Drosophila melanogaster: one gene and its partners. The protein of the gene in region 3 interacts with the protein of the main gene of each other region in a pairwise test. Each region holds a gene or a part of one and is shown on either strand. Other genes may lie near its edges.

Region 1 (6,070 bases), on a different chromosome or scaffold from region 3:
ACTAGCTGAATATTCATCAGTAATATATTGTAGTATGCGTGCGATGAACCTTGTTCTATAGAACTTTAAACTAAACTAGAGCCGGCGAGTGTTTGGATTTTTTAATTATTGTATTAAGTTAACATATGTAGAAGTTTTCTTATTCGGGGTGGTTGATAATATATTCGTAGACCAGGTGTGCACGATGCAGCGCCAGGCCCGTGATCACTCTCCTCACATCTTTGAGCTTCAACTTGGGTGCCCTACGGGAGCGGATCATGGTGGACACGACCACTGGTAGCCTGTTCCGGAGAGGGAGTGGTGATTGCATCATCATGAACGTTTTATGCACCACATTTTGCATCTGTAGGTTGATGACCTTCACGATCCGTGCCGCATAGTCCATACTCTGCTTTTGGGTTAGCGCTTCGGGATTATTGGGCGCTTTGGTCGCTTTGGGTACAACTGCCGCAGGCGGTGGATCTTCCTTCGAAACAGATTGACCCTCGAGGTTCTTTTCCTCGCCGGCAATGTCGACATCATTCGGGGTAGCCAATTCAGAGAGTGTGTCCTCACTGAGCAGCTCCTTCAAAGATAGTTTCTCCATATTCGCGAGTTCTTTGTTCATGTTCTCCATCCTTCTGGGTTTCGGCAGCAATCAATTTAGGGTTTTCCTCAGTATTCAATATTCCCAGAAGATTGAAAAGTTGGTTTTTTAATTTATTTCGCAATAGCTCACTTGAATCGTGTAGAAAGTAAAGGATAAAGTGAGAATCATTCAACGAATAGCTGATTAACTGGATCTAAAAGTCTGGGCATACTTAAATACCAATTAGTGTGCCCGCATGTGTAAAAAAAAATTCGAATAGGAACAGAGCTTTTGCAAAGAACACTTGACTGTACTCAATACAATGCTAAAATAATTTAAAAAAAACTATACACATTCTGTTATAAATAATATGCTCTATGATCATTTTTATTTCCAGTATTAAAAGTTAAGTAATTCGATTTTTCGAATCGAGTGTTTTATATAATAATCCACATATTTAATGTCAGCAGTAGTAAAATCACTCTTTTGATCATTTGCCTTAAAGTAACAAATATGTACTTGCTTTTCGATTTCTAGTACTAGTGTTGCACAATGACGTTAAAAGGTGTTACCAGGGTTTGAAACAAGTTGCGGTAAGTTAAGCCACTCAACGCCACGTGGCCATTATTATTTCATTTACTCATTGTAGATTGTTGAAAACTGTACAAGAAGTATAACCATTTCATACGCCTTAGGCTTCTAAAGAAAACTGTTTATTTTCCTTGCGTACATATGTTGTAAAGCCAATCATTTATAGAGTTTAAGATTATTATGGCATAACAAAGTTCAAGCTGGCAACTCTAATTTGTACCATTCAACAGATCAGAGATTGCAGTCATTTCGTACGTACACTTACAATGTTAATAGTGCAGCCATACCATTATAGTTGCGACTAATTCATTTTTCTAGATATGCAACTTTTTGAAATCCTCATTGGAAATCAAGAGTAAATGTCCACCCAGTAGCCCTCCATTATCCTTTTAATGCCTTCGTGTGGCCCGTCTGCCACGAGCTGCTCAATAATAAATACATGAATAGATAAACTAGGACGTGGATCGGGCAAGGACAAGGAGTCGCAACAGGACAGCATCTGGCAGCCTTGGCACGTTCGCCTTGTGCCCATAATATATTAAATACACGATAAGCACACACAAAAAAAAAAGGATGGAAAATATGTAGATATGGACTTGAGATTGCTGCTGCTGAAGTGGCAGAATGGCTGGCTCCTGCCTAGGACACCGGATTGTCGCTCTCGGGGATGACCAGCTCCTCCTCCCGGATCTTCTTGGGCAGCCGTTCCGCCACCTGCGCCCTTCCGGAGAGCTGGAACTGGTAGTTGAAGTAGTCGTACACGTACAGCTGCTTGCTGTGCACATAGTGAAAGGCCACCGGGTACTCCGACAGGCAGTCCATGCACTGCAAGAATACGAAGATAGTTTAGATAATAATCAAAAGAGGACAAGGAATGCGAATACGAAGGTGGAAAAACTATACGTTGAGGCTTGAATATCAAAGATAAAATGCCTCCTCACGCGGTTATAAGCCAGTGACGAACGCACCTTACCACCACCTTTCTGGTAACGAAGAATGATGATTACGTTCGACTAAATAATATGAGTGCTTGGCAAAATATGGCGTTGTCTTTGTGACACTTGAGTTTATTTTCTATTTTGCTGGATTGTTAAAAGGTACTGGATGGGTAAGCTGTGCATTCATTCATATATCTACATACATACAAACGTACTTTTAGTAGGGTGCTAAATGCATCCAAACTCACCGATCTCGGATTGTAGTAGGCGTACTTGTACAACCAAAAGTCCATGCCAACGTTGCCCGAGAGAAGGGCTCCATAAGGAGCTATGGGATAGAAGCGGTTGCGCAGCTGCTCGTCCCTGGAATCACCCGCCTTCACGCCCAGGTTGAACAGGCACTTGCCCATCTCGACGTCCTCGGCGTGATCGTCCTCCTGGCGACACTTGGTGGTGTCGTTGACGCCCTCGGCGAAGATCCTAAGAGCCTCGCGGCTCAGTACGTAGCCACTGCCGCCGGACATGTATGACTATTGAATCGGATTCATATTCAGTGAGTTTGTAATGTAATCCGAACCGGACAGAAGATAAACTCACCTCGTTCTTCTGGTGAGTGCCGACCATCTTGTAATTAAATCCAAAATAAATAGGTGTCTCCGGTGAATACGGGTAGAGCATGTAGCGCAGATTTTCCAAAAAGAGGTAGCTATTGATAGGAGCAGATTGAAAGTTCAGTCAAACTTTAATAATGCTATCTTTTCTTTATCGGTTCCTAATTATTCTTCATTCAACTGTTTTGGCTGTGGCCCTAACATTGAGATACCATCAGTAGTTACACCACAAAGGTAAAACAGAATGATAATAATGTTCAATAAATACATACATACATATATACATATGTACGTGTATCTGTGGTGACGAAAACAACCATCCATTCACTTATCAATTCCTGCAATAAAATGCCACTCTTTCCCTATTTAAGAATCTGAATCTTTCACATACGTGTCGTCGTCCGCCTTTATGAACCAATCCGCCTCGTGGCGCATCTGCTCGTGGATGTGGACAAAGGCCTCTTTGGTCTTGCCCCACAGCATCTCGTATCGGTCCGGCTTGGTCAGCACAACGGTGGGCAGCTCGTCATCCGGCTCAGAGGTCATGAAGTAGATCTTATTGCAGCGTTTGCCCCACGTTCGCAAAACGTGAATGGCCCGGGTCTTGTGGTATTTGGGTGTGGTGAGCACCCAGCACAGGACTCTCACCTCCCGATGCATCTTCTCGGCCAGGGTTTCGTTGCGCAGTCCAGGCTCCATGTAATCAACAGAGCTAGTGCCTCTGGACAGTGGCAGTGCGCCGGCGTTGAGCACCATTACATCCCAGTAGGCAAACAGCCCGATCACCGTGGTGCTCACCAGCAGAATGAGCAGGACCAGGCGATCGGTGGAGATGCGCTGGGCGGAGCGGTACATGCCATTCGCCAATCCGTTGGAACTGGAATGGAAGCCCGGATAAGTCGACGAGTTCTCCAGTATGATATATTCCCCGGCCATTGAAACACTGACTTGCGGCATCGTAAGCACTGTCTATACCAATCGAAAATGGTCTTATCGCCGGGAAAATGCGGCCCAGATTAGACAAGGTGGCTGGCAGAACTAATACTTATGTCGGGAACATCGACGAGCAGGTGCGCTCAATTAGTCTTATTACTAGGTTGAAAGAGAGAGAGAGAGAGAGAGGGAGGGAGAGGGAGTAACATGCACAGAACAGAGTTAAAATGAGTGAGTGAAAGTTGCACCAGAGCTGCGGAAATAGCAATACACTAATTGATATGGTTTCTAGGTGAATGGAAATCCTTATTTAAAAAAAAAAAACATATACTCGTACATGTGGCAAACAGTAGACAAAAATAAATAAACAATTAATGTAATTAATTGCGCGTATTTCCTGATCCACAATCATAAATATTATATTGATATATTATTGAGTAACAGTTAAGCTGCTTAGAGAGGTACCAAAAGCCACTATCTATTTAAAAACTCTAAAAACTTTAGTGGTCCAAACTAATTGCTTGCCAGCTTGGATTGTACTAAGAAATTTGTTTAAATTTCACTCAGCATAGTTCATTAATCAAAACACTTGGGACAAGCACACAGAGCAACAAGCACCTCGAAAGGAAAAATATAGAAATAATAAAAAAGTGAGTTCTAAAAGGGGGGGGGTTGGGTGAACGCAAAACCCGAAAACAGTTGAAGTTGAGAGAATCTTTCAATTAATCATGAGCGACATGTGGTCGTTGCTGGACGCTTTTCAGTGGCGTTGCCAAGATGGGGGGGGACTAAGGCGTGGGCGTGGCACACTGGCAAGGACCGCCAGCAGTGCGGGAAAAATAATATAGCGCATACGCCCTGTGGGGCACTCCAGCACTCCGACGCTCCGGCACTCGGATGCTCGCGTGCAAACAAATGGCTGCCATAATAGCGACGAGGCGGCATCCTGGTCGCATCCTGGTCGCATCCTGGACGCATCCTACACCCCGCGCCCCGTAACCATCCAATCCGCCTGCGCTGGCAAACAAATTCCCATTAATAAAATAAAATGCAGCCAGCGGCGGTGAGGAGTAGCGGCTAAGAATGAAAACTATTTGGCATTGTGGGCGTGTGACCCCGCTGCGATTTGCCACCAGCAAGCAGAAACCAGCTACCATTTCTACCATTGCCCATTGCCCAAACAAATACAAATTTTTCCAATAAAAGCGGCGGCTTTGCTCGCGCATTTTTTTCTCTTCGAATGTCAAAATTAGTTTTGGCCTGGGCAAACAGTTCAACATGAAATGCAAATAGGAGTGGGTGCCAAGTGGGCCTGATAAATGCCTTTGACCTTTCCGATGACGTGACCCACATGGGCTGTGGGTCCGCCCGACCATGGGCGTTGGCCAGCGGAGGAGACTCCATTACTTTCCCGGTACAATTTACTTTAAATGTATGTATGTAAGAACCACTTAACGCGTTCTTCCATTGTTTAATGTCGGTTCAACTATTTTGCCCTGCAACTTCGGTGGCAATTCAATTTAAAGGACAAAAGAAGCTGGATCCTGTCTCCTCTCTCCTGACCTATCCCATTTCCTAACTCTCCCCCCCCCCCCCTTTCAATCCCATCTTTTCGGCCGACACTGGCCCCACAATCAACAGTTCCTTTCCATCTGGTTCCCGCAGCCTCAATACAATAAAAACTCAGCCAAACAGGCAGTCCTGCGATGGTCGGTCGGTTGGTTGGTCAACTGCAAACTGGGCAAATCACAAAAATAAACCAAAGTCAAATGTATAACTGCAGATTTTTTGTAATAATGTTAGCTTTCGGATTTTACAAGCGCGCCAAGGCAAACGCCATTTGTCTCGCTGCCTGAATGTACTTCTCCCCGTCTCATTCGCTCCTTTCCATCTCTTTCTTTCGTTCTGTATGTAAATATGAGTGTGTGTGTGTGCATTGTTTGCCATGGAGATGACCGCGTGAAAAGATTCATCTTGAATAAATTGAAGTATTCAAACACAACTGAACTGAGCACATTTTTGAAAAAAGTCAAACTTAAGAAAAATGCATGAAAAATGATTGATAAGATAGGATATTTTGTGAAATCAATCTAAGATTCTATATAATCAAGATCGCTCATTCTCTCTCTCACTCCCACCACCACCACTACCAACCAATGCATGTGTCTGCGCCACACACATGCACACGTAAGCACACCGACGAACACACACACACACACACACACACACACGCAGTGAGACATCAAACGTGCAAACATTTGCCATATTTTTGTAATCAAAGTAAACAATCCACTTAACCCAACACGGACATGCAAAACGACCGGCAGCTGGCTGTCCTCCAGCCATCCCGCTCTGAACCTCAACTCATCTCACTTCCGCCACAGTGAAACGTCTTTCGCTATTTCGATTCGATTTTTTTTTTTTGTTGG
Region 2 (6,440 bases), on a different chromosome or scaffold from region 3:
ATCAGCTCCTCCTCGTCCTTCAGGCAAGCCGATTCCAAATGCTTGTTGAGGTATGACTTCAGGGCGAAGGTCTTGTGGCACCGCTTGCACTCGAAGTTCTTGTCCACCGAATGGGTCTGCATGTGTGCTCGTAGATTGGAACGATCGGCGAAGGCCTTGCCGCAGTGCGCACATCCATAGGGCTTCTCGCCCGTGTGCGATCTCAGGTGACCCTGGAGCAGCCAGGGCCTCGAGAACAGCTTGCCACAGACGCCGCAACTGTGGGATAGCTTGTGCGTGAGCAAGTGCATCGCCAGGGCGGGCATGGAAACGTAGGCCTTGCCACAGGTGTGGCACTTCTTGGCGGACTGCGAGTCCAGCGAGCGATGGGTTTGTTTGTGGCGCGACAGGTTCGAGGAGGTGGCATACTGCTTGCCACACTCGGAGCACGTGTACTTGGTCTTCTGCTGGTCAGGAGTGGGCACTCCGCTGGCGGCAGCTGCAGGATCCGCCACATGTTTGCGCTTCGAACGGCCATCGCTGACGAAGAAGGCCTCGTAGGTGTAGGCCACCGTTTTGGCCGACGCTCCGGAGGCGCCACTGTGCTCGCCATCCTGAAGACATCCATCCCCATCCGGGTTCGTGTTGGTGGTGTTGCTGTTCTCGTTCTGCACCTGGCTGCTGCTGCTGCTCGAGTTGCTGCTGGGACTGCTGGGCATGTGATTGCTGCTGGCACTCGAGGCATTGCTGGCGGGGCGTTGCTCATTTACCACACTGGCCGCTGCAGCCAGTTCGGCAATCGATGACGTGCTGCGCAGATGCGCATGCGCCTCGAGAGTTGGCAAGTGGGTGTGGTGTGCCTGCTGCTGCTGTTGCTGCTGCAGTGGCAAGTAGTGATGTTGCTGCGGGGCAAGGTGTTGCTGCTGGGAGTGGTGATGCTGATGCTGCTGCTGCTGCTGCTGTTGCTGCTGCTGCAACTGGTGAGGTTGCGTGGGCGGGTGGAAGGCTGTGCTCGCACTCAGATCCAGGATAGCATGTGCCGCATGCAGGTCCTCCTCCGCCGGTACCCTTCTTCGATAGCCGTGCGCCGGCTTGTCGTCCAAGGAATACGGCCTGTAGATGTCCTTCTTCTTCGGCGGCAGCGACAGTGTGGCTCCCGTACTGCTGAAGCACTTCCTTTCACTGGAGGTCTGTCCACTCGAGAGCGGACTGTACCGATCGCCGGCGCCGCTGGGCGAACAAGAGGGTGATGACGTGGTGGACGAGGGCGGCGTTTGGTAGGCGGCCAGGTGCTGATCTCCACTTCCGTTTCCGGATGTCCTGGCTGCCACCAGAGCTGTAGCCGCGGCACGGATCACGGTTATCTCGCTCTCCATGCGGGGCAGGTACGCGGTGTAGTGCAGCGGCGAAAGTTCGCGGGTGTAGCCTGTAAAAAGCAGAAAAAATTAAATCATGGGTTAAGTTTTATTCAGCAGCATTTATCATGGTTCCTGAAGTATGCTACACTTTTTTCTTTTGAAATAAGAGTTTCAGTCATTGTAATGTTTTTGTGCCGGAAAATATACTTAATGTAGTCGGATGTAGAGTATATGATTCGCTTAAACTTCCTAGACATGCACTTATAATTTCTTTGTGATTATAATTTTTCCGTTTCCTTTTCTTTATAAGCTGCCAAAACATTTACCCTCTGCCATTCTTAAGATATTTTCTTTAACAAACTTTAAACAATAGCTTTCATTTAAATATGAAGGACTGACACATGCGTATAATTTCTTTTAACCAAGGGCAAACTTTAAAAGGTCAACATAAATATCAAAGACCACGCCTGGAGTTGTGCTAAGATAACTATTTTGTATGTGCTGGAAAATATTATGTTTGCTCAAAGGATTTTCTCCGCAAAATAAGAACTTTGGCGAAGTAGAAAAGTACACAGAAGAGCAACAGCTCACAGCTAAAAAATGGGTTAGTGCAATTACTTTAAATCTGTTTCGTAGTAAGTTATTTTTAGCTTTTAAAGCCTAAACCTATAGAAAGGATGTCTATTGTGAGTGGTTTTTAGGTCTGCCTTGCTTCTAATTTCCACTGAATAATTAATTTCGCAATTGTACGTGGAAAACAGTGACAGGCACACATTCAACAAAAAGGACGAAGGCAAACGGTTTAATTTTGGCCTGTACCATTGTTTTCACGCCAAAGGGAATGGAAACCGAGCTGGAAGTTGGCAGTAGGAAGTCGGCGAGGGTCTGTGCGTTCTGCGTTTTGTGGCCCGCTGGCCGGAATTGCAAACAATATTGAGTGACAACAAAGGCAATTAAATTGATTCGGAATTGTTTCGCAATCGCACAATGGCCACATCAATGACAGCGATTACGTGCGCCCCATCTCGATTTCCACCACCCCCGCCTCACTGGCTGGAGCAGTGTTTTCCGATTTCCCGACTTTCCCGAGGGCTAACTTACCGTTGTAAACATTGCCGGCCACTCGCGTCGCCGCCTCCGGCGAATGGGGAGGCGGACTTGGAGCCGTGGTGCCCGCCGTGGGTGAACTGGGTCCCCAGCACTTGGACGTCGTCGTCGTCGCCGATGCCTCCATGTTGCTGCTGTTGCTGCTGTGCGATGTTGCTGCTTCGGATGATGTTGCTGCTGCTGCGGCAGCATCTGCTGTTGTGCGTTGCTTCTCCAATTTGATCAGGAATTTGTCGCCCACCACATCGATCTCCTCGTCGTCGTCCAGGGTGGAGCGTCTGGACTTGAGATGCAGCTCCTCCAGTTCGCGAGGCGAGTTGGGGGCACTCTGCTCCTGCTGCTGTTGCTGGTTGCTAGTATCCTCCGTCCGATCCAGCCAGGGATAGGCCTTCCACTTCTTGGCTATCAGGCAGCGCGGCATTTTCTGTGTTTTTTTTTTTCTTTGTAGATTAGAGGTTTTGGAGTTGGAGTTGGAGTTTTGGCTAGGAGCTTGATCAGGATCCAGTTAGTAGATCTTAGAGGGCTAAGTGCTGAAGCTAGTGTCGAGTTTCGAGCGAGCAAAGACCGTCTCAGGGGGTATTATTTGTGGCAAAAGCGGAAAGGAAACGTTGCTGTTGTTATCTCGCATGGGAAAATATATATATTAATATATATATATATATATATATATATTGTATATAGAGTTTGGCTCGCCGAAAGATCTCTTAAAGTTTTAGTCGTACAGCTTGTTGAATTTCAGGCCTGGCATTTCTGCCGTGTCTCGTGTGTCTGTCTGTGTGTGTGGAGTGGAGTGGTGTGGTCTGGTGCGTTTCGGTTAAATATTCTTAGTAATTTGCATTTTATTGTAAATTGGTTTGGTTTTTAGTTAGGATTCCTCGGGTTTCACAGCCACTTCACACATTTCGGCGCTTGATTCGTTGTCAGACCCGTATCCGTCATTTGGGCTGGAGTTTCGAGTCGCTCTCTCTGCTCTGTTCTGCTCTGCTTTACTTTGCTTTGCTTTGCTTTTCTTGTATTTTTTTTTTTCTTTTTGGGCCGGAGTTTTTGCGTTTTTGGCCAGGGCCACCGATTTTTGGTCAGTTCCCCCCGTTCAATCCCCTCGCTCCACGAAACACACACGGACACGTTCGCGTTCAGTTGGCTGGCTGCGTGTGGCTTATCGATTTTTACATTTACATTTGCGTTTACGTTCACGTTTGTTTTCAACACGGAATTGAACTCAAAACATAACGGGGGGACGATTTTTGAACGAATCTTTGGGGTATCCTTTCAACTCTTTTTGGGCTGGCAATTTTCTCCTCGGGTTTTTGGAAAACAAAACTTTGTCAATGGCCGTCGAGACGAAAATAAATGTTTTGGTTTGCAGTTTCAGTTTAAAAACGGAAAGTTGACAGATTGGTAGTGGTAGAGTTGTAGTTTGTTGTTTTTGAGAAAGTTAAGGTTGACGCGAGTTGAGAATAGTTGAGTTGTTATTATTGTTGTTGTTGTTGGTAGTGAAAAAATTGATTTAGGAGAAAATATAATATTATATAAGATAGAGAAGAAATGCGAACGAACCGAACGTAAGCAACTCTTGAATGCTTATGAGAGTCTTGCGGCCCGAGAGCCCGCTTATAAGGGTGGTCCACCCCCAGCATAACGACAGCCAGCCGAACCGCGTCGCCTTGCAGCCGAAACGAGCCGAAGGGAAGAGCGAGAGCACTGGAGCGCCAGAGAGCGGAACGCTGAGAGCGGCACAGCCCCTAAGTTCCAACCCCCAGAAAGGAAGCGCATAGCTGTTGCTATTGCTGTTGCTCGTCCTGTGGGCTGGTACACACGATGGAATATGCTCAAGAAACCTAAATCACTGAAATAACATAAGGTAATAGCGGCCAAAAGAATAAAACATAACTTAGTGCTGGCCTTCATGCCTAAAATACCAGTGAAACCCTTAAAAACAAAGAGTTTTCTAACATATCTTCTAAGAAATCGCATCGTGTGCCAGCGCCCTAGAGCAAAGGCAACAATCAGGAAGTGTTTCATTGCCAAAACATTCCCCGCTGTTGCTTTCTCCCGATTTCAAAATTGTTGCGCCTCTCTCTTTCCATTTCCCCACCTTCTCCCACTCGGTCTCTTTCTTTCGACGTGGAGGCACCGGACCCCCAGCCATACCTGAGAATTGGCTCATGGCTCTTTGGCCCTTTTGGAACTTTTTCGGCTTGGGGCTCGCGGCTCTTGCCTCTTGGCTCTTGGCCGCCTGAGGCTCCCATTCACGATACACGGGGTGGATTTTGCGCCCAGAATGTGGCAGTTGTGCCGAGTTAATTGCTGTTGCATTGCATTTGTTGCTGGCTCTGATTTTGAACAAATTGCCAGCGACGGGATGGCCAAAGGGGGGTGTACGCTACTTTCCCGTAAACATATATACTATGCTGGTTGGGGTAACGGGTTGAGGGGATGCAACAGTCGCTGGTCCTTGGCCCTAACTCAGTTAGTACAAGATAAACAGCACAAACTAACTTCTGTCGCCCTCGTCTCTCTGCACTGACGGCTCTCCACTGGCCATGAATAAGTGGTTTACTTTTCAGATCACAGAGGTCGGATATGAGTGCGGCAACTCAAATCGTTGGATGATTAATTGCAGCTCCTGCCGAGTTGGGTTTGATTGACAGCTGGATGTGTCATATGCCACACTCCCAGTATGAAATGAACACGATTTTGGGATGGATTTCCAGGGTTTTTTGATGCCCGCAAAGGGGTCCAGCTATGTGAAGTCTATAGCAATATTTATATTTGTAAAAACATTTGTTTGGCTATTAATTGAACCTATTAGAACTAGAATCATTATCTAGAGATAACTCGTAACATACTACTTTAAAATGTAGTACTAACCTTACTTCGATTAAAGTAAAAACCTTAGAGAATCCTTGAAATGCTTTCAAACAATGCGTTCAAGATGACCCACCATAAAATCCCTAGAACATCTTGAGAAGCGACTTACTTACATATACAATCTGTTCGCATTCCCAGTCAGTGCAACACACACAAAACTAATTAATTAAAGTGGAGCTTCGGTTAGCTGAACGGGGAGCTCGGGCTTTGCATAATCAGACACTTAAATTACAAAGTTCTTAACCTTTTAATTAGCCAGCGACAACAGACAATTTGTCTGCCTCAGACGAGCTTAGCGTCGCTTCTGCAGCGGCTGCAGTCCTTAAAAATTATATATACTTTTCATTGGAATTTTCATTCGGTTTACTATGGTATCCCCCGGGGTCCTTCGTTGAACCCACTTCCTGTGCCCCACTCGAAACAGATGCAACCTTTTTTCTATGGTTTCCCTGTTTAAACTATTTCGAATTTTTTGAGGAAAACCAAGAAGTGCCCACCGCTCCAAATATCTGTCCATCCATCTCGCGGAGTGACAGGCCATAAGGACCTCTTCGGGCATTCCTTGAAAATGAACGGCGGTATGTAAATATTAATGCCAAAGTAACGTATAGACCATCTGTGGAATTCGACTGCACTAATTATAAAAAAAAATTGGGCTCGCCCTACGCCCGGCACCTAAGTAGAAGCCCTAAGTATGCCCCTTTCCACCCCACCCAGGTTGCACTGAGAGAAAATGTTGCGAGTCCTAGCTATGGTATTAAATAAACTATGACTATACTATAAATGTTTTATCCGATAATTATTATACTTCACATATTCGACATCTTGAGTTAAATGTTATGGCTATCAAAGCATCTTAAAATATGCATCTTAGAGCTTATTTTTCCCAGTGCCCATCCTTTCTTAGGGTGTTGACGAAACCACTCGTCTGGCACACGGCTCCTAGCGCATGGTAATCTGCTTTTCCAGCCAACAGACTTGAAGGCGATTCCGGCCAAGATGCGCTTTATGCGGCCCACGAACGACGAAATTGTTGCGCTTCGTTAGTCGCACCCTCCGCCTCCTTGAGGAATGTGTGTACAAGGACCCACTAGGCAGGACCTGAATCCCTCGATCGCCGCTGGC
Region 3 (6,502 bases):
GTGCGATGTGGAGCACGATCCGAATGCGGCTGGTGCCTGTGATCCGCGAAAGTGCCATTTGCCGCAGTGCTTCTGCTCGAAGGATGGCACCCAGATACCCGGCAGTCTTCCGGCACAGAGTGTTCCGCAGATGATACTGTTGACCTTCGACGATGCCATCAATCACGATAACTGGGAGCTGTTCTCCAAGGTTTTGTTCACACAGCACAGGCGAAACCCCAACGGGTGTCCCATTAAGGGCACATTCTACGTTTCACATCCGTTTACCAACTATCAGTATGTGCAGAAGCTTTGGAACGATGGTCACGAGATCGCAGTGCACTCAGTAACGTAAGTTGTTGATCAGCCTGTAAATTATTTAAAATTGAAATTTCACTTTTATTGATTAAAGGCATCGTGGCCCAGAGATGTGGTGGTCCAAGAATGCCACAATTGAGGATTGGTTCGATGAGATGGTTGGCCAGGCGAATATAATCAATAAGTTCGCAGCGGTACGAATGGAGGAGATTCGTGGCATGAGAGTACCCTTTCTGCGCGTCGGCTGGAATCGACAGTTTCTCATGATGAAGGAGTTTGGCTTCGTGTACGATTCATCCATGGTTGCGCCGCATTCGAATCCTCCTCTGTGGCCCTACACCTTGGACTACAAGATGCCGCACAGCTGCACGGGCGTAAATCAGAATTGCCCGTCTAGGAGTTATCCGGGCATTTGGGAGCTGGTTATGAACCAACTGGAAGTGGGCGAGTATATGTGCGGCATGGTGGACACGTGTCCGCCGCATTTGAGCGGCGAGGATGTGTACAGAATGCTCACGCACAACTTCAAGAGGCACTACCTCAGCAATAGGGCACCATTTGGCCTGTATTTCCATTCGACTTGGTTCAAGAAAGTCGACTATCTGAATGCATTTCTGGTGAATATTCGAATTGTTACCCATAATACTAGATCTTCATTCCTTCCTGATCATTTAGAAATTCCTCGACGATCTGCAAAAGCTGCCGGATGTGTTCTTCGTGACTAACCAGCAGGCGATTCAGTGGATGCGCCATCCCACGCCCAGCAACCAGCTGCACCAATTCGAGTCCTGGCACTGCCAACCGAAGGACTTGGATCCCCACGAGCAGGTCTGCAACACGCCGAATGTGTGCAAGGTGCGTAGTCGGGTGCTGCAAGAGGATCGATTCTTCTACACTTGCATGGAGTGTCCTGCCCAGTATCCCTGGATTCGCAACGAGTTCGGCTTGGACTAAGGTGATAGCCCGCTTGACACTATAGGGCTCTGCGCAAGGCGCTTTGATATATCCATAATGTTTGGAGCGTTCCATAAGTAATTGGATAAGATTGATACAATTTTAGGTTTTAATTGTTTAGAAAAATTAATATTTATAAATTGGATTACGCATATTTAGATGATTCAGCTTTCAAAATCTGACCGTAAGCAAACCCGTAGATAACTTCGTAACATACCTGAAGAGGATAAAGTGCATTAATTTAAAATCGGAACACTCTGAATTTTATGGAGAAGCTTAAACAATTTCGCGGGCTCATAAACGTGGTACTTTGCGGCCTGATTAGATTTTAAGAACTAATTTATACGTATGTATGTCTCCGCTAAATATATTTAAACCGATTTCCAAAAGAGCTTTGTACTTAGTCTACATTCTGGAACGCATCCCAGCCACAAAACCTTGGACTATTGCGTTATAAACGGATTGGCGATGCTCTCGACTCCGTCTTGCGGACAAATGAGGACGAGGGCTGTGCCGCGACAGACGACCAGTCCCAGGCTGCGGGTCTGCTCCTCGGTCAGTTTGTAGGGCTCATCCGAGTCGCGCAGATACTCCACCGTGTTGTCCAGCACCAGATTGAGCAGCGCATCGTAGCCCTTGAGGATTCCGGATGCCTCGCGGCCGCCCGCGAATTTCACGCGGATCTGTTTCTCCAAGTACTTGGAGAGGTCCAGAATGGACTCCTTGCGGCGCTTCTCCTTACCGTCATTGTTGCCACCCACCTGACAAGTCACGATTTTGATGATTAAGCACCACAATGTAGTTATTCTATTTAATTTACCTTTTTATCTGCCATTATTCTGTTTTTGGTAAATGCCGGCTGGTAAAGAGTGACCAAAGCATATTTTTTTAGAAATACACCAAATAAGGCGCTACTAGCCAGCAGATGGCGCTGGTGAAGTAATCTTATGGGCCGCGCTTTTTGAGGTACATAATCGATAATAATGGAATAAACATATGTAAGAATTAATGTTATTTGAAAAATATGACAACAAAGTTCTCTTATTTCTACTGTCATCATTGTGAAATTATTTTCTTACCTTTTGCTATTGAGGCGAACATATCAATTTATTTGTATAATAATTATTATATTGGTTTAAGATATCGATAAGATTCATTTATTTGTATCGATATGCTGGTCACTCTGACTGGCTCTCCATTTTGTTTTCCACGACAGAGCAATTTTTAGTACAACAGATTGTTATCTTCTACCAATTACCGGATCGATTTTGTACATTTAAGTGTTTTAAAGCCACCTTAGGATCATGGGACGCAAGAAGAAGAAGGCCTCCAAACCCTGGTGCTGGTATCCTTTTCGCAAAACAAAGATATAAATATTTTTTCACTGCATGTGCCGCTCGCTGTATCTGCACATACACACACATTTATATAATGGTATTGGGTTGGGGGTAGATACACACACACATGTATATGCATACTGGCTACAACGCCGCATCCCCGTGAATTTTCCTTAACTCTTAACGCAAAAAACTAGGTACTGCAACCGTGAGTTCGATGACGAAAAGATCCTTGTGCAGCACCAGAAGGCCAAGCACTTCAAATGCCACATCTGCCACAAGAAGTTGTACACCGGACCCGGACTATCCATACACTGCATGCAGGTGCACAAGGAAACGGTGGACAAGGTCCCCAACTCGCTGCCCAATCGCTCAAATATTGAAGTCGAAATCTTTGGCATGGACGGCATTCCCGCCGAGGATCTCAGGGATCACGAACGTCAGAAGAATGGTGGCAAGTCTGATTCGGACGATGATGAACCGGTGGCCAAAAAGAAAGTAGAATGTAAGTGATCAGCAAACTGTATTGTATACAAAATCGCTATACAACATTCATTGCAGATGCCATGAGTGTACCGCCGCCTATGATGATGCCCCCGAACATGATGCCACCGCACATGCTGGGGCAGTACGGCATGGGCATGATGCAGCACATGCCGCCACTGCCTCCGTATCCAGTGCCCATGATGCCGCACATGATGCCTCCGCGTCCTTTGTTTCCAGCCGCCATGGCCACAACATCGGCGGCAGCTGCTGCGGCGGCGGCCCATCATCACCACGCCGCCGCCATGGCTCAACAAAAGCCAACATTTCCAGCGTACAGGTTAGCATCGTTAGGGGAAGACCATATAAGAATCCTTCCAATTTTTTTTTCTAAAGCTAGCAGTTAGACGTAGAGCCCTGTTAATAATCTTTTTTTTTTAAACGATTCGTATGTAAATTCAGTTTTGGGGGTATTTTAGGTGAAATACTTTCTACTCCAAATAATTGTTCACATTGGCACATTTTTAATGGTTTTCCCCTATTAAACATAGTTGTGAAGCAAGTCAAATGACTTATTATTAGGCTTAATCCTAAGAATTTGTTTTTAACTAACGTAAATCAATTATTTCTTCTTTTTGCTAAAGTAATGCTACCATAAGTGCTCCGCCTACCACCAATCATGCTGGTGGCGCATCCAGCGCACCACCAAGTGGTCCGCCAGATGCTCAGCAACACCAGCAGCGACCTCCAGCTCCACCGGCGGCAAGCGGAACTTCCGCTGCTGCTGTGACCACAAAGATTATGCATCCACAGGAGGACCTGAGTCTGGAAGAATTGCGCGCGCGCCAACCGAAAATACAAGCACGGTTGGCGGCCGCTTTGGCTTCACTGGCGAATCCACAAAGTCGCAAGAGTCCCAGCAACAATGGTGGCCCCTCTACGTCGATTCCCACCACTCCGCCGCCCCCGTCGCTGGCCGGGATCTCGCCCACGGGTAGCAATAGCAGCAGTGGCATGGCTAACTCGATTGTCGTCTCCGCAGCCATGTCGAAGGCCCAGGAAGTGAGTTCTTATCATAGTTATAGAAACCATAGTCAATATAAATAAACAGACCGTGACGGAAACGACTTCCACTGATTAACAGGAAATGACAAGCACAACGGACTGAAACGAGGACGTGTAAAAAAGACAATTTCCTCCAAAAAAAGAAAAATAATGAAAGAATAAATGTAATTGCACATAAAAAAACCTGACCCAATTTCGACTGCATTTTAAGAGAATGCATTCAGCATTCTAACAGAATTCCATTTTTCCAAACTGGACACTTTTATACATTTACTCTGCGCAGATCGCAAATTGCGACAGCGGAAGTTACGTTTAGACGACCACAGCGTACGAGAGCAAACAGATTACGAGAATCACACAATACGAAACAACATTAAAAAGAAAAGAAAACTTTTTTTAGCATATAGTATGATATATGTCTGTACAATTTTTAATTAAAAAAAATTAATGGCAACAAAACAAATGAAACGGCGGTTTTCAATTTAATTAATTTGATTTAAAACATTTTACCTCAACACATAGAGAACTCGATAGAAGGGAAAAGCAAGGTTTCGCATTGTCTTGGCCCTAAAAGTAATCTCCATCAATGTGATATGCCAACACATGTGCTAGTTTTGTATCTTAAAGGTAAAGCGGAAGCAGCTGAAATGCAATTCACATGCCCACTGATAAATAGTGAAATTCTTTATAGCGGGTGGGCTGATTTAATTGGATCATAGGGGCAGGTTTGAAGCCAGCTTGCTTAGTATGTTTTAGAAATCTATGTAGTCGGTTCCATACACGCTTAGGAAGCGTTTTTTACATCAAGCGCAGGCTAAAAACTCATTTTTAAATAGGGAATCTTAAATTAGATGATTACTTTAATTCTTGATATGATCTAGTAATTTTTGTTCGTCAATTTTTGTTACTTCAGCAGCTTACAATCTGCAATTCTATTTTTTCATTTGGGGTTCAGCCCCGTTTTTTTGAAACCCTTAAGCAAATTTTTTTGTTACCACGATAGGTACATAGAGACCTGACTCAGTCAGGATACATTTTTTTTGGGTTGACCCCGAAACTACACCCTCCCAGTGGCAAGTGAGATAAATTCAATCGATTCCAAACATTTTCTTACAGAACGCCGCTCTAGTTGCCGTGGCACAGGCGCAGGCACACGCACACGCACATGCTGCCCAGGTGCAGGCCCAAGCGCAAGCCCAGGCCGTGGTCCAAGCTCAGGTGCAAGCCGCGCATGTGGCACACGCTGTGGCAGCACAGCAGCAGGCAGTACAGCAGCAACAGGCGGCTCAGCAGCAACAGCAAGCCGCTGTGCAACAGCAGGCGGCGGTGCAGCAGCAGCAACAACAACAACAGGCGGCGGTGCAGCAGCAGCAGGCGGCGCAGCAGCAGGTCAAACAACTGGAGGAACTGAATCGGGCTGTGATGCTCCAGCGCTTTCAGGCTGCCCGACAGCCTGGGAATCCCGGTGCGGCAGCAGCGGCTGCGGCGGCCGCAGCCGTCGGCATGGTAAGTCTCTAATCATGCGGTGCTGCGTATGCCACGCGAGCAATCAAACCAAAGAATGAACTTGCCTTAACAATACCGAAATTCCGAAATTGCTGAGAATCTCAATCTGTAAAAGACCACAATACAAATACCGATCTTGTGTCCTAGAATGGTATCATAAAGCCAACGACAGCATTTTCGAGTGGGTTAACCCAATAAATAAAGCTTCGCCCTCATCATCATGGTTGGTCACCTATTAGCTAATGTTTACGCGATTAGTTGGGGGTTCTAAATTTACAATGATCCTATAGCGAGATAATCTATGGTTAACCGAAACGCACACTCATAAGACTAATCTGAAAATTTATGTTAAAACCGTCAACGGATACATTAAAAAAATGTGTGTATTTGTAAAAAAATATAACTTTTTTTTTTTAATTTTATAAAGGATTTAGTTTGTTAAAAAATTAAAATATTTAGGAGCTGATAGGAAAAAGAAATTTGCACTTCTTTAAAACAAATTAACGTTTTCATCAGTGTAAAAACAATCACTTGGCTAACTACAACCGCTTACCAACACTACCGCTTAAAGTTCCCTTTTCTTTTCGAACCCATTACTTTTGCCCAGCTTAGAAACAAGGAAGATCAACAGTCTCAACTACGTCTTTACGCCATATGTATAAATCTAAAAACCCTATTAAGCTTGTAAACTGGAAAAATATGTTAAAGTTACCGTTACAATTGCAGTACAGAGCAGAAGTTCAGTGTTGATAAACGATAAGTGTTGCAAAAGTGTTGCGCAGGGTCCAAAAAGAGTTACAGTATGTATGGTTTTTGTACAAGCAAGTTTATCTCTTCCCCCAAAACCCAACCTAATCACT
Region 4 (5,957 bases), on a different chromosome or scaffold from region 3:
TTGTGTCACGCAAGTAAAACAAGTTTCTTGTAAATGTGTTAATTTGTACAAAATGCAAAAAGGCACCATAAGAAACCGCATTTAAATTGAGCAAATTGGCAGCGACATAATCAAATTTCCGTAGTTCTCAAGTTACAGGATCGTAATCTAAGAAGAAACTCAAAACCTGGATTACTCGATTATTAATAAAATGTTTCGTATGAATGGAATTTGTGCTCCAATCCCTAATATATTTTACTATACCATTTTCAGTTCTTTCATAAGATCCATATTGGAAAATCACATGTTGAAGAATAGTTAATACATTTTTTAAATAGTAAAAAATTGTTCGCTATTCACTTCTTTAAATCATTAATTGCTGGTTTGTTTTTGCTAAGAATATGAGTGGCGAGCGAAAGAGAAGGACTAGAAGGATGGCTAATAAGGAGGCTAAGAAACGCTAAACGGCTCGAAGCGATTATGTGCATGTGTGTATTTATGGCCAAATAACTCAGCTGTTGTATTCATTAGCCTCGTTCCCTGCGCTCCTCATTATTATTGCTGCCTTCATGTTAATAACCTGAAAGTGTTTTAAATTTCACGCGTCCTGCTTGTTAAATGCAGACATGTGTTTATTTCAACAAGAAAGGAAGGACCGACGCGTTCCACAAAATTATCACAAGGCGAAAAAGGCAATAGTAATGATATTTTTTTGAGAATTAGGGGATCTGCTGGTTCTTAGAGGCTAAAAAGGAAATCTTGATATCACGGATCACTTGCTAAATTAGATCGTTCCAAACACATTATTAAAAAAAAAGTTAATAAAAAGTTATAAAAGTTTTAAAGTTAGTAAAAGTTAAGGGACAAGCGGGATAAAAAGCATTTCTCAGAAAAATTTCGTTTTATGTTTCGATTAAAATATAACCAAATCTTAAATGATGTTACTTCCTTTTTAAAAGACAGAAAAATATATAACACTTACTTTTGTAACAAGAAGAACCCCGTTTTTTGAATAAGGACATTGCTAAAAACTTTCTAAAGATTTGGAATATTTCCAAAATATTTATAATCTCAATGGCTTTTGTGAAAAACTACAGATTTAACCAAAGAAGCTTAAGCCTGTTTGAAAAGACACGATTTTCGAAATTTAATAAAAAAAATTGTGATATTCTAGAATTCAATTAAGAACCGCTTTTATAAAATATAAAATCGTTTTAATGTGATTATAATTGAATAAGTCAAACAAACTCGAAGCCATAACTGAAATACTTTTTGGGGCTAAAAATGTATATAGACTGGATTTCATTTATAAAGCTGGGTGAAGATCTTAAAGTTGAAAAAAAAGCTAGATAACTAAACTTTACTTACGTTCACTACATTTCACTGTTTCCGCTCGATTTTTCTAAACACTTCTTTAAGTTGTTTAAATGTTTATATTCTTCACAAAAGGATCGATCTATGCACTAGGTTCGATAAAAATAAAATAAATAATTTACTAATACGGATATGTGATACAAGCTAATAAAATTGTATTTACAAGCCTTTCTACGCCTATGAATGTATACCATATGTTTTGGTCCTATTACAATTAATCTTAATACAAAAGGAACTACGTTTGGATGGATATACATACATAAATATACATATACATATATCGTTCATAAATAATGCTATATAGTACATAGGTGTGTTTCGTTACTACCCTGCTTGTTGCCACTTATCTATATCGTACGCATATCGTTGTCTATTCTATTCTGCACCTCGGGGCTCCGATATTGCTGCGCCGGAGCGACGAGGGTAACATTATTGTAGTATATGTTGTGCATGTTGGCAATGGGCGCCGCCATCATGAAGAGCGGATGCGAGATGGCCAGCTCGTAGGTGGTGGGGCTATTGGGTATTCCCGACGCTGGCAGTCCGGCCACATTGGCACCCGTGGCATAGTGCAGAAACGGCACGTGGGCACCGGCGTTGATCGTGTGCATCGGCGGCAGGGGATCCTCCGTTCGGCTCGATCGGCTGGCGGACATATACTCCTCGGAGGCGGCGGGCGTTGTGGGATAGCGGCTGATACCGCTGCACTCGACCACATCGATATCGACGCGGTCATCCTCGTCGTCCTCGTCCTCCGACGGATGTTCCGGCTTGTCGGGCGTGATCAGGCTCTCTATCGTGAAGGATCGCTTGGGTCGCAGGCTCAGCGGTCCCTCGATCTCGGAACTGGTTAGCGCGGGCAGATTGGTCAGTCCCATGTCCGCCAGATTCGTGTGATCCGCACCGGACATGGAGGCGGGCATTACGTGCGGCAGTGGCACACCTGGACCCAGGGAGTTTGGCATGTGCGCCGTGCTCCTGGGCAGTGGATCCAGTCTCATGGCGGCCGCATTGTTCATATCCAGCGGCGACATGTGCGCTGCACTGCCTCCGTTACGGGTGGTAAAGAAGAATCTATTGAGGTTCGCCAGGGCAGTCAGCTCCTCGTTGAGCAGATCCTTGTCGTTCTTGTGCAGCTTGAAGCGCTTCCTCCGCCGGAGCAGGCTGCCGTTTTCGAACATATCAAAGGCCTGCGGATGCAGTGCCCAGTAGGCTCCCTTGCCGGGTCTATCCGGCCGTCGGGGCACCTTGATGAAGCAATCGTTGAAGCTGAGATTGTGCCTCAGCGAATTTTGCCAGCGCTGGGTGTTCTTGCGGTAGTACGGAAATCGGTCCGTGATAAACTTGTAGATATCGCTGAGCGGCAACATTTTCTCCGGCGAACTCCAGATGGCCATGGCCGTTAGCGAAATGTACGAATAGGGGGGCTTCTGTTCGCCGTAGGATTCTCGCGAGGGCCGGGGCATTATTACACAATGTTTTCGGCTCAATTTGTTCCGCACATCACAGTGTTACATATTTGCAGGCTAACTTGATTTATGAATGCACTCAAGCACTTGCTAATCACTCGTATTATTTTCGTCCGTCAAACGTATGAATATCCTAAACGCATGCGGCGCAATGAGGAGCAATGCCGCGTGCCGTCGCAGGAACATAAGCGGGAGCAGCTAGTGGATTTGCTAGCGAGGAACATCCATTTGGGGCACGGTGGCGATGCGGCATGGCGATGTGTGATATGGACGAGATAGCGACAAGAAGCGACGGCAAACAAGATCGCGCCAACTGTCGGCAATAAACTCTGCGCAAGAACTACGCTCGTTATAAGCTCCGGCGACGACACTGGCTTCGCCACCACCACTACCACTGGAGCAGCTCAGCTCTGCTCTGCCACTGGCACTGGCACTGGCACTCTGGAAGGAAAAGCACTCTCACTGAGGTTTCCCCATCCGACTGTGCGCCCTGCCGCCCTCCAACTGCCGCCCTCCGCCTGCCTGGCAAATTACCATCAAAAGCTGAATGCGAATACGTGAGCGGCGGTGGTGATGGTGGTGGTGGGCTATAAAGCTGGAGCGGACTTGGGGCGAACTTGGGGCGAAGATAGCGATAGAGCGGGAACAAAACAAACGACAACAAACGAAGAACACGGCACACAAAAAATTACTGTTTCAGCAGACTGGCAGACGACGTGCCGGTTATTGTACTAAGTGAGCAATGCCGTCCCCAGTTCTCCAGCTCTGCAGTTCTGCAGTTCTGCAGTCCTCCAGTTTTGCAGTCGTCCAGGTCTGCAGTCCTCCGCGGTCCGTACGTACAACCAACCACAGTGAGCAATGCAATCAAAATATAATCACTCACATCATTGCCCCCGTGCTCTCTCCCAATCACCGCGATGCGAACATGCATCATCCCTCCGCCACGGCGAAACTTCAAAGCGGCGAGGAGAGCCAAAGCAAAGAGTCTGAGATTTACTAAACGAATAAACCAGTCTGACCAGACCGCACTGCGCCGCTCCAGCGGAGAGCTCCTGCCCCTGCACCACCCCTATCCCTGACCCGCCGGTGGTTGCGGCTAGGCGGTACACTGGCCGAAAAACCCATACCCCTATTCGAAGTTTAAACGAGCGAATGAGTTCGACAATCCCTTAGATCTACGAGTGCTGCATCATATATTCTTAATAAAGGTATGAGTCCTGCTATCTAAATACTTATGCTATGAGGCCTATAACATATTGATTGCTATACTGATAAAGGTCAGAACTTTTTAAAGGATTTTCTTTTTTCGAATTATTTATTTATTATTTATACCTTCCTTATATGGGGATCATATAATTCGGACTTCACGTGCAAGGTTCATCTAAAAGATTGGTGGTTAGGCTTTCCCAAATCAGAAATCCATTATAATAATAAATCAAATACAAATCTATTATTGTGCTAGTTAAACTTTTGACTGTTTTATTGCTTAAGTTTATTACTACCAGTACCATAAATAAGATGTTGTAAAAAGTAAGCTTTTTCTGCATGCAACTAGCCGCTGTTTGTAATTGAAGTTATTAACATAGGAATAAATTTTCAAAAGCTTTCTTGCATGCACTTCAATGAAAGCGCACACGATTTCTCGCCGTGTACGAGGGGAGTATCTCGTCGGTTTTATTTAGCTTTGCCTTTGGTATTACCGCTGCCGCTGCCTCAGCGCTGGTGCTGCTCCTGCTGCTGCTGCTGCTGCTCCGGACAAAAGAGCAGCCGCCCCGGCAGCTGGTTCTGGCCATGGCTGGGACTGGGACTGGAAGTGGGTATGGGTATGGGACTGGGACTCTGGCCAGGCCGCGACTGGCTAACGGCCCAATGCGAGAGAGGTGTTGAAAAAGAAAATTACAACCACTTTACCGATTTACTGATTTTACGTTTTCATAATCTTGTTAGTTAATTTGCCTGCTTGCGACTCGGCCATGATTCCACAGAACGTAAAAGCCAAAGCACATTGCCACCGCATTCAGCGAACGTGTGGGTTTGGGCCTGTATTTTGTATTTGGTATTTTGTGTTTTGTATTTAGTGTTTTCTGTGTTTCGGTGTGGGCATCAGTATGGGTATGGGTATGGGCATGGGTATGGGCCATCAGTGGATTATGGAGCTCATGGGGCTGATGGGGCAGCAGCGCGATTTGGCGAGACTCGATTTAACACTAGGATGGATAATTGTCTTTAATAGTGCGCCCGATAGAGCAGCAAATCGCAATCCCGCGGATGGGTGTATTAAATCGCATTAGCTATTAATGAGTCTGCATTCTTCCTGTTCTTCACCAAGTGTAAATTAATGATATCTGACTAACACGAAGGCAAATGAGTAGTTAAGCAGTGGCAAATAGCTGCTCAGTGGTATAATTGAATTTTAATCACATGAACTATTGGCCTGCTTTTTGTTGCCAGTTCTGAGGAATAGCGAAGATGGGCTCAGAAATTAGCATAAAGTACACATAATACTATTATTATAACTATCTTCATTTATTGTTAGATAGAAAGTGTTCCATATATTTGTAATAATTTCAAAAAACCCAGAATAGCACACCCATGCCAATTAATATCTTTAAAAATGGATAATAAAATGTGAAAAAAATATATTTCCAACAACGCACGCCCTAGTTAATTATGAATTTATTTATCTGTTTATAAACAACAATCGCATTGGGCCATAATTGTGCCGTTCATAGCGATAATTAGGTGCTCGGCGAGCGAAGGTTAACAGCGATATGGCCCGCAGAGAGAGAATCGCCTTGGACTTGGACATGGACATGGGTATGGGATGTAGTATGTGGTATGTGGCATGGAACTCCGAGTGGAGAATGGGGTGAGAGCCATGTGGCGGCAAAGCGGGATGGCACTACGCCGACGCTATCGCTCCATCTCGCTCAGCCGCTTGTCTATACAAATGGGAAACCTAGGACGCGATTGGCCATCGCTGGAGTACAGTGGTCGGGGGTGGGCGTGGCCTGGTGCGCACTGTAATGAAATTGTGTATTTTAATTTAAGTGGACATATGAATATGGCCACGGTAGCACTTTTGATTAACCATTAACGAGTTTTGAATATCTACAGAAATTCAATCAGCCCGTT

The links.
Region 1: the proteins of BuGZ (region 3) and tgy interact in a two-hybrid assay, tested with the Drosophila melanogaster proteins (one large-scale study listed by BioGRID).
Region 2: the proteins of BuGZ (region 3) and scrt interact in a two-hybrid assay, tested with the Drosophila melanogaster proteins (one large-scale study listed by BioGRID).
Region 4: the proteins of BuGZ (region 3) and fd96Ca interact in a two-hybrid assay, tested with the Drosophila melanogaster proteins (one large-scale study listed by BioGRID).

Annotation. Positions count from the first base shown.
Region 1 is NC_004354.4:19,123,661-19,129,730, forward strand, and holds tgy (twiggy), read right to left. Parts: upstream 3,657-6,070; 5' UTR 3,645-3,656; coding exon 3,100-3,644; intron 2,804-3,099; coding exon 2,695-2,803; intron 2,628-2,694; coding exon 2,346-2,627; intron 1,985-2,345; coding exon 1,799-1,984; 3' UTR 1,343-1,798; downstream 1-1,342. Other genes in the region: CG15882 (uncharacterized protein), read right to left, coding at 140-616.
Region 2 is NT_037436.4:3,981,489-3,987,928, reverse strand, and holds the start of scrt (scratch), read right to left. Parts: upstream 4,034-6,440; 5' UTR 2,866-4,033; coding exon 2,439-2,865; intron 1,406-2,438; coding exon 1-1,405.
Region 3 is NT_033779.5:16,740,975-16,747,476, forward strand, and holds the start of BuGZ (Bub3 interacting GLEBS and zinc finger domain protein), read left to right. Parts: upstream 1-2,430; 5' UTR 2,431-2,555; coding exon 2,556-2,590; coding exon of another isoform or gene 2,591-2,596; intron 2,597-2,785; coding exon 2,786-3,093; intron 3,094-3,149; coding exon 3,150-3,411; intron 3,412-3,715; coding exon 3,716-4,133; coding exon of another isoform or gene 4,134-4,178; exon of another isoform or gene 4,179-4,591; intron 4,592-5,252; coding exon 5,253-5,642; coding exon of another isoform or gene 5,643-5,654; exon of another isoform or gene 5,655-6,502. Other genes in the region: ChLD3 (chitin and LDLR binding deacetylase 3), read left to right, coding at 1-330, 392-914, 973-1,251; LSm7 (uncharacterized protein), read right to left, coding at 1,695-2,012, 2,072-2,086.
Region 4 is NT_033777.3:25,080,414-25,086,370, reverse strand, and holds fd96Ca (forkhead domain 96Ca), read right to left. Parts: upstream 3,688-5,957; 5' UTR 2,820-3,687; coding exon 1,701-2,819; 3' UTR 1,493-1,700; downstream 1-1,492. UniProt on the Drosophila melanogaster protein: Involved in development during embryogenesis.